2 linked regions of the Diceros bicornis minor genome follow. The main gene of each other region encodes a partner of the protein of the gene in region 2 in a complex. Links are inferred from orthologs where the notes say so. Each region holds a gene or a part of one and is shown on either strand. Other genes may lie near its edges.

What was found. The genes of interacting proteins can lie anywhere in the genome.
Region 1: ERC1 (region 2) and PPFIBP1 share a complex: the UniProt entries of both Homo sapiens proteins name them as parts of the cortical microtubule stabilization complex. The link is inferred for Diceros bicornis minor from reciprocal best matches to the Homo sapiens genes ERC1 and PPFIBP1.

The regions. Positions count from the first base shown.
Region 1 is NC_080756.1:35,554,477-35,561,636, reverse strand, and holds the start of PPFIBP1 (liprin-beta-1), read left to right. Parts: upstream 1-4,139; 5' UTR 4,140-4,354; intron 4,355-7,160. UniProt on the Homo sapiens protein: May regulate the disassembly of focal adhesions. Did not bind receptor-like tyrosine phosphatases type 2A.
Region 2 is NC_080756.1:59,588,377-59,595,764, forward strand, and holds the start of ERC1 (ELKS/Rab6-interacting/CAST family member 1), read left to right. Parts: upstream 1-4,378; 5' UTR 4,379-4,401; intron 4,402-4,423; exon of another isoform or gene 4,424-4,559; intron 4,560-7,388. UniProt on the Homo sapiens protein: Regulatory subunit of the IKK complex. Probably recruits IkappaBalpha/NFKBIA to the complex. May be involved in the organization of the cytomatrix at the nerve terminals active zone (CAZ) which regulates neurotransmitter release.

The sequences.
Region 1 (7,160 bases), about 24 Mb from region 2:
GTTCAGAAAGGTAAGTTGGCGGCTGGATGTAAAGGCCTTTGGATGCCAGTCAAGAGAGTTTGGGTTTTGTTCCTTGGTGAAGGGGAGATGTTCAAGTGTTTCAAAAGGAGTCAAGAGTGATCAGGACTGGGCTGTAGAGAGCTGTAGCTGGAAGCCTATAAAGACCAGACAGGCAAATGACACACTTTGATGAGTCAGGTGGGCCTCTCCCGGCATCTGCATCTAAACAGAGTAAGTAGGGGATGCGTCCTTGTGCCTGCACAGGCTTGAGGATGGGGTAACAAAAAGAGTCAACCTGCTTCCTGTTATTTAGAGGGTAGAACTGAAAAAGGATAGACCGTGGACAATCAAAGCTTTAGATATATAAAGAACAAATGGCTTGGAGTCAAAGAGACCTTGGTTTCAATCCCAGTTCTGGGTGTTCTGGAGCAGTTTACTTATGTAACCTTGCTGAGCCTTTGATTCCTATGTTAAAATGGGGCTAATAAAGCTCACCTTAGAGGATGGTTGTGAGAATTAAGTGAGACACAAGACAGAGGTCTTGGGGCAAGAGTCAGAAAAGCAGGACCCGGCTCCCTAGGAGAAAGATCTTTAGTGGTGGGCTGCTCTCCTAGCTCGTGTGCTCCTTGTTGCCAGATAAATTCAAACAGGGGCTGGAAGGCTCCTTGTCAGGAGGGCCGTAGGAGGGGTTCTTGCATCCAACAGGTGCTTGTGTCACATGACCTTTAGGGTCCATTTCAAGTTCTACTTTTGTTGTTCTCTGCAGGTTTTCTCCTGCTTTCACAGGTTCTCCTCCTCTCCCCCACCCCGCAGTGATAGTATCTGGCAAAATTCATAGGCAGAAAATAGCTATCTAGACCTACAGAGCTAATAAGTGTTGAAACCACAGGAGGTGTAAACTTTTCCATTAAGCCAGCTAGAATCCAGGGTAGTGGGTAAACTCTGGGTATCTGCTCAGCAGGTATCCTATTTCGCTTCTGCTGCATTGTCCTGATCCTTTGGGGCTTCCCCAAGATACCAAGGCCAGTGGTTTCAATATATTTATCTGAGTGTTAGACTCTCTTTTTAAAATGAAGCATTATAGTGGAGCCTAAATGTAGAACAGAGAGGAGCTGTAACACTAAGGTGGAGGGAAAGCTGGGGTGGAGAGGAGACTGAAGTCTCCCTCACTGGTTCCTTCCTCACCCACTCTGGAACCCCTGGTTTGAACCCTACTGACCCAGCCCTGGACTGTTTTCAGCTTTCCTTTTGAGTCTTTTGTTTTCTGGACTCTGATGGCAGCTGTTATCACTCCAGCTGCAGAGGGGATGGGAGGCAACTTCCTGTTATTCTATCCTGCCATCTCTGTGGCGGTGGGACATTCCCTCCCCCATCTGCTGCTGGTTGTAGGCTGTGAGCCTGGATGCAGCCACCCTGTGACTGGGGCTGGAAGAATGATGGTAGCCACCCAGCCACGGCTGAAGGCACTTAGGGAGCAAGGCAGGCAACAGGTACAACAGACAAGTGTGTCCCTGACTGAGGGAGAGGGAATGATGAGTGGCTAAGAGGCAGGTTAAGTGGCTGGTGCAGAAAATATCTGAGGAGGTTAAGGGTTGTTGCATGAATGGTGGGAGAGTGGGAAAAGGGAAGGACTGTGGCCAAAGCATAAAAAGAGAGGGAGAGAGAAAAAAAGAGATAATTATGGTTTCTGGCTATAAGATTATTTGCAGGTAGGGTACCTTTAAGGAATGGAGGGGGTTAGAGGTGACATGATGATAAATTTTCTGTAGTCCTGTATTTTTATTGAGTTTTTTCCTTGAATTGGGTATAAAGGATACAAAGAGGTATTAAGTATGGAGCTTGCTCTTCAGGGTTTGGGAAGATAGGAAATGTATACAACTGGACATATACAATCATATGTTTACACATCTATACAGTCTCAATTAACCTTTGATGTGAGTATTATCAGCCCCTTTTTACAGAAGAGGTAATTGAGGTTTCTGATGGTTGTTTTAGTGACTTGGCCAAAGTTACACAGCAAGTAAGTGGCAGAACCCAGCTATGGACCTCAAGCCCTTTTTCTGTCCACTGTAGCACACAGTGAGGACAAGAACTTTAATTAGGCTTTGAGAGAAAGGTGTGACAGCACATAGAAGAATGGGGATTCCACGTAGGCCAGAAGGTGAGAATCAAGTGGGGATCTGTGAGTAGACCAGTTTGACTGCAGCAGAGGATTTCCCAGGAGTGAAATAGAAGATAAGGTGGGAAAGGTAAATAGAGGCCAGATTAGGAGAGTTTTAAATGGCTAAGAATTATAGGGAAAAGGGGGCCCAATGTGGAGGGGAAGATATTGATGGCAAAACCAAATAGTTTTTAAAAACTCACTTGGTAGTGGTGCATAGAAGGACCAAGAGCTGGGGAAAAATGGCATCAGAAATATGTTAGGAGCTTGGAATTGTGTAGGTCTGAAAAACAGCACCATGGTACTAATATAGAGTGGGTCTGTGGATTTTTTTTGCATGACAGTGTTTGAATGGGTGTAGATTGTGAGCAATCACCACTTTAGAGTAAAGAGAAAAAAATGGCTTTGGAGTCACATGGGCCTCAGTTTCAACCCCAGTTCTGGGTGTTCTGAAGCAATTTACTGCCATAATCTTGCTGAGCCTTTGATTCCTTATGTTAAATGGGGCTAATGATACTCGCTCTACAGGATGGTTGTGAGGATTAAATGAGACACGATGTTGGACTCCATGCATCCTTTTACAGTTTTTAGCAGAATGGTGAAATGCATGACATGTTGTCATGTATCAAAAAACAGACAATAAAGGGGACGGCCGGTGGTGTAGTGGTTGGGTTCGCCCGCTCTGCTTTGGCGGCGTGTGGTTCACGGGTTCAGACGCCAGCATGGACCTAGGCACAACTAATCAAGCCATGCTATGGCAGTGTCCCGTATGCCACATAGCGGAAGATGGGCAGTTGAAGATGGGCACAGATGTTAGCTCAGAGCCAATCTTCCTCAGCAAAAAGAGGAAGATTGGTAAAGGATGTTAGCTCACGGCCAATCTTCCTCACCAAAAACAAAAAAAACAAAAAAACCCAGACGATAAAAACCAACAGAAAGTCAATAATTAATTCATTGTCCTTCCAGAAGATGATGGATAATGCGTTACTTATATCTCATGTCAATAGAGCCACTTTTCACCTTTCAGTTCTGCATTGAATCGGATATTGGGCATATTGAAAGGACCATCTCCTGAGAAGCATTCTGTTCTGCTAGCCAAGGGGACTATACAGCATGATATCCGTCAAGCTTAAATGTTAGTTAATTCTTAATTGATAGCTCAGCCTCTGCAACCGCTTCTATTCAACAGTAATTATTCTCATGTGCCTCGTTGAACCCAATTGTGAGATCCTCCCCCCCCCCCGCCGCCGCCCCTTCAGTTGTGCGTGAAAACAGCAGCCTTAAGGTCCTGAGTAAGGTAAATAGTAATTTTTCTTACTTTGGAGGTTCAATTTTATTTGCCTGAAAGCTCGGGTGGAGTGATTTTCATCGCTAAACGCAAAAGCAGCCACATGGTTGATAACGCCACCAGTTAACAATTCATTGCTGAGTCGCCGTTTCTGAGATTCCTTTCCAAATCTTCCCAAGTGCTTTTGAAGTTGTAAATTCCTCGTCTAAGGGAACACTCAGCAGTCTCCAGATAAAAGGGTAGAAGAGCGAGCTGGCGTTTTCCTTTATTTGCATGACTTCAAGCTAGCCATTTTCCGCTCCACGCGCCGGCAGACCGTACTTGTCCGTGACACAGAGGCAACTGTTTTTCCTTAAAAAGGGGGCACGGGTGGGTTAGTTTCGTTTCTGATCTGGGATATAGTAAATACGCCAAGAAAAGTTAACAGGACCCGCAAGGTTCTTCCCCCATCCCATTATCTCCTTTTCCTTAGAGATAGCAGGAAAGGCAGCATTTTTTTTTCCATCAGCACCCACTTCCAGCCCTAGTCTGGCTCAGCGAGGAATGTATAAAATGAGTTGACTCCTCTGAGTGACTGTCCCCGGGCCCAATCAGCGGGAGCCCGGGCGCGGCCGACCCCACCCCCTTGCGGACTCTCTTTGGCTAATTCCTGCAGGGAGGGAGGAGAGAAGGCGGCAGTGGGAGGGGGAGGTACCTGGAACTGGGAGTGATGTCAGCTCCCAGCTCGGAGCCTGCCCGGATTCCTGACATGGTGTAGGGCCGAGAGGGTGGGGAAGGCGGGGGCCGGACGGCAAAGGATTGGGGTTTGCGAGCCTGCTGCGGGGCTCCAGTGTTGGGGCTTTGAACTCCGACGGAAGGTGAACCAGAACTTCTGGAACTAGTGCCAGCGGCTCTCCACCCCCCAGGTAAGGGCGTTCGGCTCCACTCGGAGACCGGAGGGAAGTGGCACCGTTGTGTGGTTGCAGCTGGGTGTTGCAGCTGCTCCTCCTCTTCCCCGGGTCGATTTCCTTTTCCAACTCACTCCTGTTTCCCAGTGGGAAAGGGCACTTTTGGTGGTGCACGGGGTAGGGCTTACTCCTGGGGTCCCGACTAGTTTATATGTGAAAAATACCTCCAGGATTGGACATGTAAGGTCTTGTCTGTGTCCTTAGACCCCCGCACCCTAGTCTCTCTCCCAGTAATACTTGAGAACCCCAATCAGAGAAGTGTGTGTCTGTGTCTGTGTGCGGGTGTGTGTGTGTGTGGTTATTTAAAAATGTCACAAAAAGTTATGAAATGTCGACTCAAAAATTATGCTCTTTGAGACAACAAAAGTTTTGTGTTTTTTAGTTCCCCTGTGACCTATTACATACTGATTTAAATGAAAGAGTATTATGGTTATTCTTATACAGTCTTATATATCAACATCATAAATCCTTTTATATAGTCCAGTCAGGATGTGAGAAACTCACTTGGGGTGTATTAATTATGAGCTTGTGGGAGAACCCGTCTCTTGGGGGCACACTTCTAAAACTCCAACTCTTTTTCACTCTTATGTTTTAATTGAGTGCCAGATCACTTGAGTGATCTGGAGGGTTGGGGAAGGCTGCTGAGAATCTTCAGATCTGTTTTCTGTGGCCACTTGAGAAAAGGATCAGGGCTGGTAGTTGTGTTTTCAGGGATCATTTTTAGAGAAGAGAGTTTTAACAGGGAAATGTGGCCAGAAGGTGTGGCACACAAACTCTTAATTATAGGAACATGAATTTTTCAACATGTGGAGCCAAAACAAATCCTTCCTTTCAGTAAGAAAGTGCAAAGAGCAGTAGAAGGAGAACTTGATTTAGCGTTCCAGTTTGGCATTTAGGGAAAGCAGTTGCCTGTTGGGAGGAAGATTTTCAGAAGTGGAAGTATAGAATTCTGATTTTTTTATTTTCTGTTTCAAACCCTTTCTTTCTCCTGCTGGGAGATTTTCTGTGCCCAGGTCACTAACTGGGTGTGACTGACTTTCAGGGGCAAAAAGTTAACTCCATCAACTGATTCAGAACCCTCACTTTTCAGTGCTTAAGGCTCTGGAGAAGAAAAAAAATGTATGGGTGAGATTCCTGAGTCAAGTTCCTTTTTCTTTCACCTCTGTTCCTCAGCAGTGAGGATCCTTCTGTTACCAGATCAGGAGGAAACGGGCAGACGTGGACTCTATTGTGAGTCAAGGCTGCATCCCAGGTGCCTGAATGAAAGGGCATTTCCAGATGAGGAAAGAAAGAAGGCACAACATTGCATCTAAGAAACCCAAGTCGGGAAGTGTGAAGTTACAGGACTTTATAAATGGAATTCTCCATCTTTCTAGCCAGATGACAGGTTTCAGGGCTGGAAAGAAGTGTTTTGTTTTGCTGTTGTTTATAAAACACCCGGGTCTGTATTGTTCTTAGTTCCTAAAAGAATGAAATAGTACAGGGTGGATAAAAGCAGGCTCTTTGCAAAGGGAAGGTGTGCTCTACTGGAAAGGCCAGACCATTTTAATTTTGGTTTGTGTTTTGGGTTAGGAAACAGAAATTGCCTAATGGCTCTGAAATAATGGTGAACAAGTTTTTTCTATTTATATTCTATAGGAAGTACGTAAAACATACTGTATTTTCCAGGGTACTTTTTCAGTAGGATGGAGAAGGAGATGATGTGGAATTCCTGTGGGCTGATGTGGGCTCTCTGGAGCCTGTGGCTGATGAGGTGTTCAGACTGCAGTCCCTCATAGCCAGTCAAGTAAGGAGCATCTTTATGATGTTACCCTGATGTACCAAATTCAGATTTATGCTTTCTTTCCAAAAAACCAGCCCTGGCTTAGGGACTTGATTATGCCGAAGCTTTAAATTTTATTCACAGTTTGAGTAATAACAGTCATTTTACATGCTTAGATTTAACCAGTATTTCTCCATCTTGGTCCATGTTTATGAGGTAGATGTGGTGTAGTAAAACACGGTACTTTTAAAGGATAAAATTTGAAAGACCTATGTGTTGTTGAGAGAGGTAGAATCAGGTTTTGGTTAAATTCTCTTTGACCAGTAGCTCTCATAGTTCTAGTAGCTGCTTTAAAACAATAGGATAATCTGGCCTTTGTGGACAAATGTTGACTTGAGATCCAGGCACAATATAGTTCCAGATCAGTAGTGCCTAATTTCAAGGGCATCGTAAACATTTTTTGGAAACAAGTTCGGTGAGAGTTCATTAACTCTGTTCTGGTTATGGAGTCTTTGTCACTCTTTGTACCAACATGAGATAAATCAGAACAAGGTCATTTTTCCCCTCAGTTATTGACTAGCTGACTTGTTTTTAAGACCTGTCTTTCATATTCATGAAATATTTGTATTTTTGTACTTAATTTAGAGTATGTTGGTAATTTGTTACATTAAAATTACCTTTTTGAGTTTTTCGTCTCCCATTTTTAAAAGTACCTATATCCCAAATAGCACGTTTTTTAAACTGTTAATGGAAAGAAGACCTCATTCATCATTCTGTCTTTTCAAAGATATTATTACATGTTTCTGACCTGGTTTTGAATTACGTTTTCAAAACAATGAATGGATGAGGGAATGAGTGAATGTATATCCATTCACATTTGGGTCTGTGTATTGATTCTTTATTAAAGAAACACTGCTTCAAGGTGAAAACATAGGCAAGAGATATTGCACAATGGTGATTTCTTATTCCCAGAGTTTTCCCTAAAAAGTCGTATTAGTTCTG
Region 2 (7,388 bases):
CCTCAGCATGGCCGGAGAAGCGGTGCGTTGGCGCGCGCCCGGGATCCGAACCCGGGCCGCCAATAGCAGAGCGCGCGCACTTAACCACTAAGCCAAGGGGCCAGCCCCTCCCTTGCATTTTCATGTGAATTTTAGGATCAGCTTGTCAATTTCCACACACAAAAAAAGGCAGCTGAGATTTTGATAGGATTGCATAGAGTCTATAGAACAAACAGGGGAGTACTGCCATTTTAATATTGTCTTTGCTACTATTTCTTGATGAACTACCTAGATAGATGATGATTTAGCTTCATTATAAACCCTGTACTTCGCTCATGTCTTCCTATCCTCTCAGTATAGCCTAATAATTCCTTGCTTCTCCATGGTTAGTTTTCCTACTTCTAACAATACATTTTAACAACCATTTCTGGTTCTGCCAACTATACACACAATCTCTTGAATGCTTCTACCTTTACCTCTACCTTTCCTCCCTACATTCCACATCTAAAACTGTCAGCTATACTTTTACCTTTATATTGTCAACATTGATATAATTTATAAACTATGCTTTAACTACAGCAAGATTATCTATAATTTATTAATAGGTCAAGTCTAAAAGTTGAACGCCAGAAAACAGCATTTTCTAAGCTTTCTATCATAGTAATTAATTATTCAGTTGAATTCTCTCTTTTTCAGATTTCTCTCCCAGAACTCCTATCCTTCCATTCCAATCTGGCCTTGCTCTTGGGACTTTTCCTCACTGTTTTCCTGAATTAGATCTAATGATTCCTGGATATGATGTTGTCAGATACCTGTTTTCTACCTCATTTTCCTCAAGCACATCTTCAAGTAACTCTTTCAAAAAAGGGTACATAGGAGTTTAACTTAATGAGTCCCTGCATATCTGAAAATATTTTCATTCTGCTCTTTCACTTAATGATAATTCAGCTAGGTATAGAGGGTTTTTTTGAAAATTAAAAATTTTTTCTTAGAATTTGAAGTTCAAAAAACATTTCTCAGAAACTTGAAGGTCTTTGCCTGTTATCTTCTCATATCTAGTGTTGCTGTTAAGAATTCTAATGCTAGCCTGATTCTTGTTCTTTTATAGGTCACTTTTTTTTTTCTCTTTGGAAATTTAGGACCTTCTCTTTATCTTTAGAGTTATAACATTTCACAAAGTTGTTTTTTCTTTGTTTTTGCTCTGCACTAGTGGATGCTTTCAGCTCTGGAAAATTTTCTTCCATTACTTTTAGGGTAATTTTCCATTATTTATTTACTTTATTTTCTCTTTCTTTTGTAATATTAGTCCTGTTGGATTAACTCTCTATTTCTTCTATATTTTCTCTTGCAATCTCCATCTCTTTGCATATTTCTTCTATTTTCTTTAAAATTTCATTGACTTTATGTTTCAACACTTCAAGTGAATTTATAATTTTAGCAATTTCTTATTTCTAATTTCAAGACCTACTTTTTATTTTTGGATTGCTAATTTATCTGAACATACTGTTCTTATTTCATAGATGTAATATAAGTCTGTAAGCATACTAATTAGTTCTTTTTTTCTTTTTCAGTGAGGACAATTAGCCCTGAGCTAACATCTACTGTCAATACTCCTCTTTTTGTTGAGGAAGATTGGCCCTGGGCTAACATCCGTGCCCATCTCCCTGTGGGATGCCTGCCATAGCATGGCTTGATAAGCAGTGCATGGGTCAGCAACCGGGATCTGAACCTGCAAACCCCGGCCCACCAAAGTGGAGCCCCCGAACCTAACCACTACACCACCCAGCTGGCCCTCAATTATTTCTTTTTAAGTTCTCTGAAGTTTCCCTTGTTTCCTCTGTGGTCACATTTTCTTTTTATCCTCCCCCTCCCCAACAAATTGGAGACTTCCCTTAAATATCTAATAATCCTTGGTGTCTGTTCATATTTAAGATGAGGTAGTTGGAATACTGATTAGGAATCTTGTGAACTTGGGAGGGTCTTTTGAACTTGCACAACTTCACTCTAGGGTAAGTGGATAGGAAACTGGCTATTGTGCCAGAATGAAGAATGCTTTACTCTGAGTCATTAAACGCGCAAATAGCTGCCCAAGTCCTCCCCAGAGATTATAGAACTCTTGACTTTTAGCTTGGGATAACTGCCTAGCTATTGTAGCTGAGATATACAGAGGGTTCTGCTGTTCTGTATAGAAACCTTTATTTAGTCTCCGTGTTTTCAGCCCTGCTTCTCACGCTTGCTCTCTCTTGTCTGTGTCTCCAAATTTCAGTCTCCCTAAATCATCTCTGGCAGAGAGGCCCCCTTCCTTGGCTGCAGCACCTCCTACACCTATTCCACACTATGGTTCCTTCCATTTTGTTTAGTCAGACTGCACTCACTTTCTGTGAGTAAAATTTAAAAATAAATTATCTTTTGGTGGCCCCCTTCCCATTTTCTATTTTGTATGAGTGTGCATCATTTTTTTTAATTATCATTTTATTTGGGGGTCTCAGGAAGAAAAGGCAATGAATGTATGTGCTCAGTTAGCCAGCTTTAATTAAAAAAATCCTAAATGTAGGTTAAAAAAAAAGATATCTGAGGCAGAGTAGGAAATAAGAAAAAACAACCAGTGGAATGGCAAAAAAAAGAAAAATTCTGAGTCTGTGATATTGACAGTATTCCTGTGTATATATAACTTAGTGCATAGCATCTCAAACTCTCCAGATCTACACATTTTAGGGCTATGATGGATCTCAGACATCTAGTTCACACCTCATTTTACAGTTAAGAAAAGTAGGACCGAGAAGCAAAGTGATTTCCCCAAGGCCGCATAAGTAGAGAGTGGCAGAATGAAAACTAGAAGGATATGACTTCCACTTTATTATTTTTTTTACCTCACCACTCTGCTGGGGAGTAACAGGACCGGCACATCAGCGGCCAGATGAGAAAGATCCTGAAAAACAGTCAAAGAGGGATGGCTTTTCCTGGGCCAATAGCTAGATGCCCAAGAAAATGAAATATTTCAGGTTGCTTATTTGGGAGCCATATAGTCAGTCTCCTTCTCTGGCAGCAGCCTAACAATTGGTAGCCATATGTTGAATGTGCTGAAGGGGGCGACTGTACAGCAGGACAGGGACCTGCAAGAATCCAAGTGTGTGGTGATCCTATGAGGGAACAACTAGAAAGCCTGGGCAGGATGAAACAGTAGAATTTGGTGAAGAATGAATGTGAATACTGAGGAGAAACGGGAAAATGTTAGTAGGATTATGAGGGAGCGTAAACTGGTTAACTGCGGTGGCGGAAAGTAGGGGTAAAATGATGACTCAATTCCTTTCAAGGGCATTTTAAATTATTTCAATGAACACTGGAGCGCTGGGAATAAATACAATTCACATCACTCTTCCTTTCTTGGTTTAGAGATAGCTTATCGACATCCTTAATGGATGCAGTTACCCTCTTTGCATGGTTCCGACAAAAGAAAACCCGACTGCGATTCAGCACAAGAGAACTGGCTTGCCTGAAACAAGGTACCAGTTGCCTGGTAGACTTGCCTAGCTGTGGTGAGGACTCAGTAAGACACTGTAGCACCGCATTTGGCACATCGCAGGTACTGAACCTGCACATTAATTTCCGCCCACGCTCTCCTCTCCTGCGACAATCACTACAGAAAAACGACGCACACTGGCGTGGTTCTTCCACGACGCCTGAATTCTTTCCTTAGGGCCGTGTGGACAGTCCCGAGTACCTCAGATCATATTACTAGCTTCCGCGGCCAAAGCTAAGGGTGGGGAAAAATCCAACTTCCCTGGACAAAGGGTGCCCACTGCGGCCGCGGGCGCGCAACCGGGAACGTACTGACAGCCTTAGAGCTAGCCCCGACGGCGCCGGCGGCCCCGGGGTTTGTCTAACGGCCCCGGGAGGGAGGGGGTGGGGCAGCTCTAAGGTCTGGGAAAGCGACGACTCCGCTCTTCGGGCCTGGCCCGTCCACTTCCTACGGCAAGCAGAAGGAGACAAGCGCCGCCTTGCCTCGCTCCCACCTACCGCCTCTTCCCGAGCCGGCTGCGGCTCTCCCCTCCCGCGGCCTCAGGGGCCGCGTGTGTGTGTGTGTGTGGGGGTGTGCGTGCGTCTGCCCCGTGCCCGTTACTCTGCTTCGGCGCGCGGCCACCGCCGGGACCCTGCGTCACCTCGCCGCCCTCCCCTAGGAGGCGCCGGATGCCAGCGGGCCGCCGAGCCGTACTCCCAGGAGGCTGCCAGAGACAGAGGCGGCCCGGCCCGGAGGAGGCGGAGCTCGCGGCGCCTCGCGGCCGGGCCTGGGGGCGGTGCTAGGTGTCTCGCGCAGGGGGCGGGGCGCGGTGACGTCTGCGGGCGCCGGGGCCGTACTGTGGCTGTGGTGGTGGGGGCGGCGGCGGCGGCGCCCGGGCGGTAGCAGCAGCCGCGCTGAGGAGGGTGAGACGGCTGCGGTGGCGGCAGCTCGGAAGTCGGGTGGGCCCTAGAGCTTCCCGCCTTCGCAGGCGCTGAGGCTTTTGCCTTTTCTTCGCCTGCCTCTCCCTCACGGCCCTGGGTAGGGCAGGGCAGCGCGCCCCCGGGCAGGGGCGGAGCTGTAGGTGAGGCTTCGGGACCCCCTCCCCCTCCGCTCCCTGCCGGGGGGATGGGGAAGTCCGGGAGGGGCGGGCCCCACCCCAGCCCACCGGGGGGCTCCACCCGGCCGGGCTCCGGGTTTGGACGGGAGCTGAGGCGATAGATGTGGGGAACCCGGGGCGGGAGGTGGGAGACGGGGGCTCTGGGCGCTCGGAGAACCGAGCGGGGAAGGTTTATGAGGCGTGATGTTGCGGGCGAGGTAGTGGCGAGATGGAGGAATTGGGGAGCCATGAGGAGGTTGGGGTGCGGTCAGGGTAGATCTGGGTTTAGGTGATTGATGTAAAATGTTGAAAGAGGTGAGAATTCTTTTTTTTTTTTCCCTCTGTGTAAATGGTAAGATAGGAGGTGAAGGGTTGTATTTCAAAAAGGTGAGCTGTGGATGTTGCCTTTGAGGCATTTGGAGAAGCGATTGCACTCGGTCTGACATTTCTACTTTAGGGTTTTGGTTATTTTTCTTTTTATCATCCTGGCGGGGGGTGGGTGGGTGAGTCCCGGGGGGAGGAGAATCTCTCTGCTTTTGGCTCGGAGTGGGTAAATTATGAGCGTGGATGGATTTGAAGTTTTAGACCCTTCAAGAAGAGTGATATCTTGGGTTGACAACTTCATTCTGGCAGCAACATAAAGGAATAGGTCCCATTACACTTAGTTCCTTAAAGGTGTTATCTTCCAGTCTTTTTTCTGTACCTGAAAGGTCTCTTTATACCATCTCTTTTACTAGCTTTATTCTGGTCCCTTACGAGAAGGCCTGAGAATCAAGTGGTTGCTTTGGAAGACACATTTCTGAGTAATAGTTGCAGGTGGTTGTGGTTGACTGCTTTGGATAGATAAATGAACAATTTGAACAGTTCTGTCGAAGCCAATTATATGAAAAATGCTTAAATGTTTTAAAGCACTGCTGTCTTTTACAGCTTGTTTTTCAATAGACCTGATGTTAGACATTTTAAGTCTTCAGCACTTAATTATTTGAGATTATTTTTATTTCTCAATTGCAGATGTCTTTATTAGACACTTTGAAAATGAAGTGGAATAATTTTTTTTTTCTGGTAGACCTCTCAATTTCTGAGAAGTGTTCTTGGAGTCAAGGGCTTTTAAAATGCTCTTTAATAACATTTTTGGGGGCATGTGTCTGTCACTTCATAGGGAGATGTTACTACAGTAAACAGCGTTCAGTGTTCTTCACATCAGTGTTTCACAACTTAGCACATCAAATCAGAATCTTCTTTTCTGGACTCCTGCTCCCTATTAGGTTATACTATCTAATAATCACTGACCTTACCTATCAGTGTCATTTGAGCTATTTCTTGCTCAGAAAACAGGTCATGTAATGAACATGTATTATGTAATGGATGGAAGTAGGCATGACTCTCAATAATTCATTTATGGAGGAAGAGAAACCGTCATGAAATGGAATTTAAGCAGTGACTTTCCCAAGGCTTACTCAATTTATTTGGGAACATAGCCAGAGAAGTGCTTTCCTGTCACCCAAGAGAGAAATATACAGATGTGAGTGTCAGTAGTTGCAGATCATTGCCTTTTTTAACATGCCTACTTAATGAGCAGACTATTATCTTCTAGCAAATACTTCTGCTTGAAGAGACTTATAGGAAGCAGATGATATAATAGCTATTAAGTGAGAAAGGGTGTGGTCCAATTTGTAATTATAAATAAAAGATTTAATTAACTGTATTCAGACAGATCAAATTATAAGTTGGTACAATGAATAGTTTTGATTTGGGATTACTTTGATGGAAAAATTAAAGTTCATATGTCTAGTTTTGACTTTTAAATTTTACTGTGATTTAATTGGGTACACGAGACAAATTCGAACTAAGATACTGGGTGAAACTTGGTGCGTATATTGCTAAAATGACATTTGCATGGCTGACTGTGGGATGTTATTCTTCTTGTAGGAATGAAATATATGATTTGAGGGAAAGTGTAAGGTAGAAGTGATCTATTTCTCTTTAGAATTTTTTATACCTAAAAAACCCGCTACTTTTTATCTTTCAAGAAATGTCACTTTTTAGTCGTTACTCTGATATCCTTGTTGAGTCTACTCAGGTGTTCCTTTTTTTAAATTACTAAATTAAGATAAATATGTCAGTCTGTTAATTCAACATTAATACTGAAAACAATTGAAGCTTTTAGCAACAACTGCTCCTCCTCTACGATATGTTTATGCTTTTAGAACTAGTATAAGAGCTGTTAAATGTGTGTTTTACACATAGTGTATCAAAAATATTGATGGAGAAAGACCAGGAATGAAGTATTTTGGTTAATCAAATAATAACCAGTACATTGATTATCAATTTTAAGAGAAATATAATGTAATAAAGTAAACTTAGCATAAAGGTTATGTGGAATATGATTTTTTTTCTATGGCTCTTCAACATCTGAGCCTTAGGGCATTGATTCATTCATTTATTCATTCAACAGTAATTTATTATGGTTCCAAGTACTTTTTTAGACATTGGGGATACAGTAGTGAACAAAGTTGACAAAAATCCCCACCTTCATGGAACTTACCTTCTAGATACCTCTGGGGAAGTAAAGAGGAACCCAGCAAAGGAGAATGATAAGAGGTCATTGAGTTAGCAGGAAAACCAGGGGCGTGTGATGTACGAGAAGTGAAGGAAAGGAAGTTTCAAGGAGGAGGGAATGATCAACTGTGTCATTGTTTAAAGATGTGTCAGAGTGTTGGGTAAGAGAGAATTCTGCTTGATTATAATGTCTAGTAACAGAGAAATGACTAAATGCTTTTCAGTGGGAGATGAGACAAATGTAAGAATCTTTCA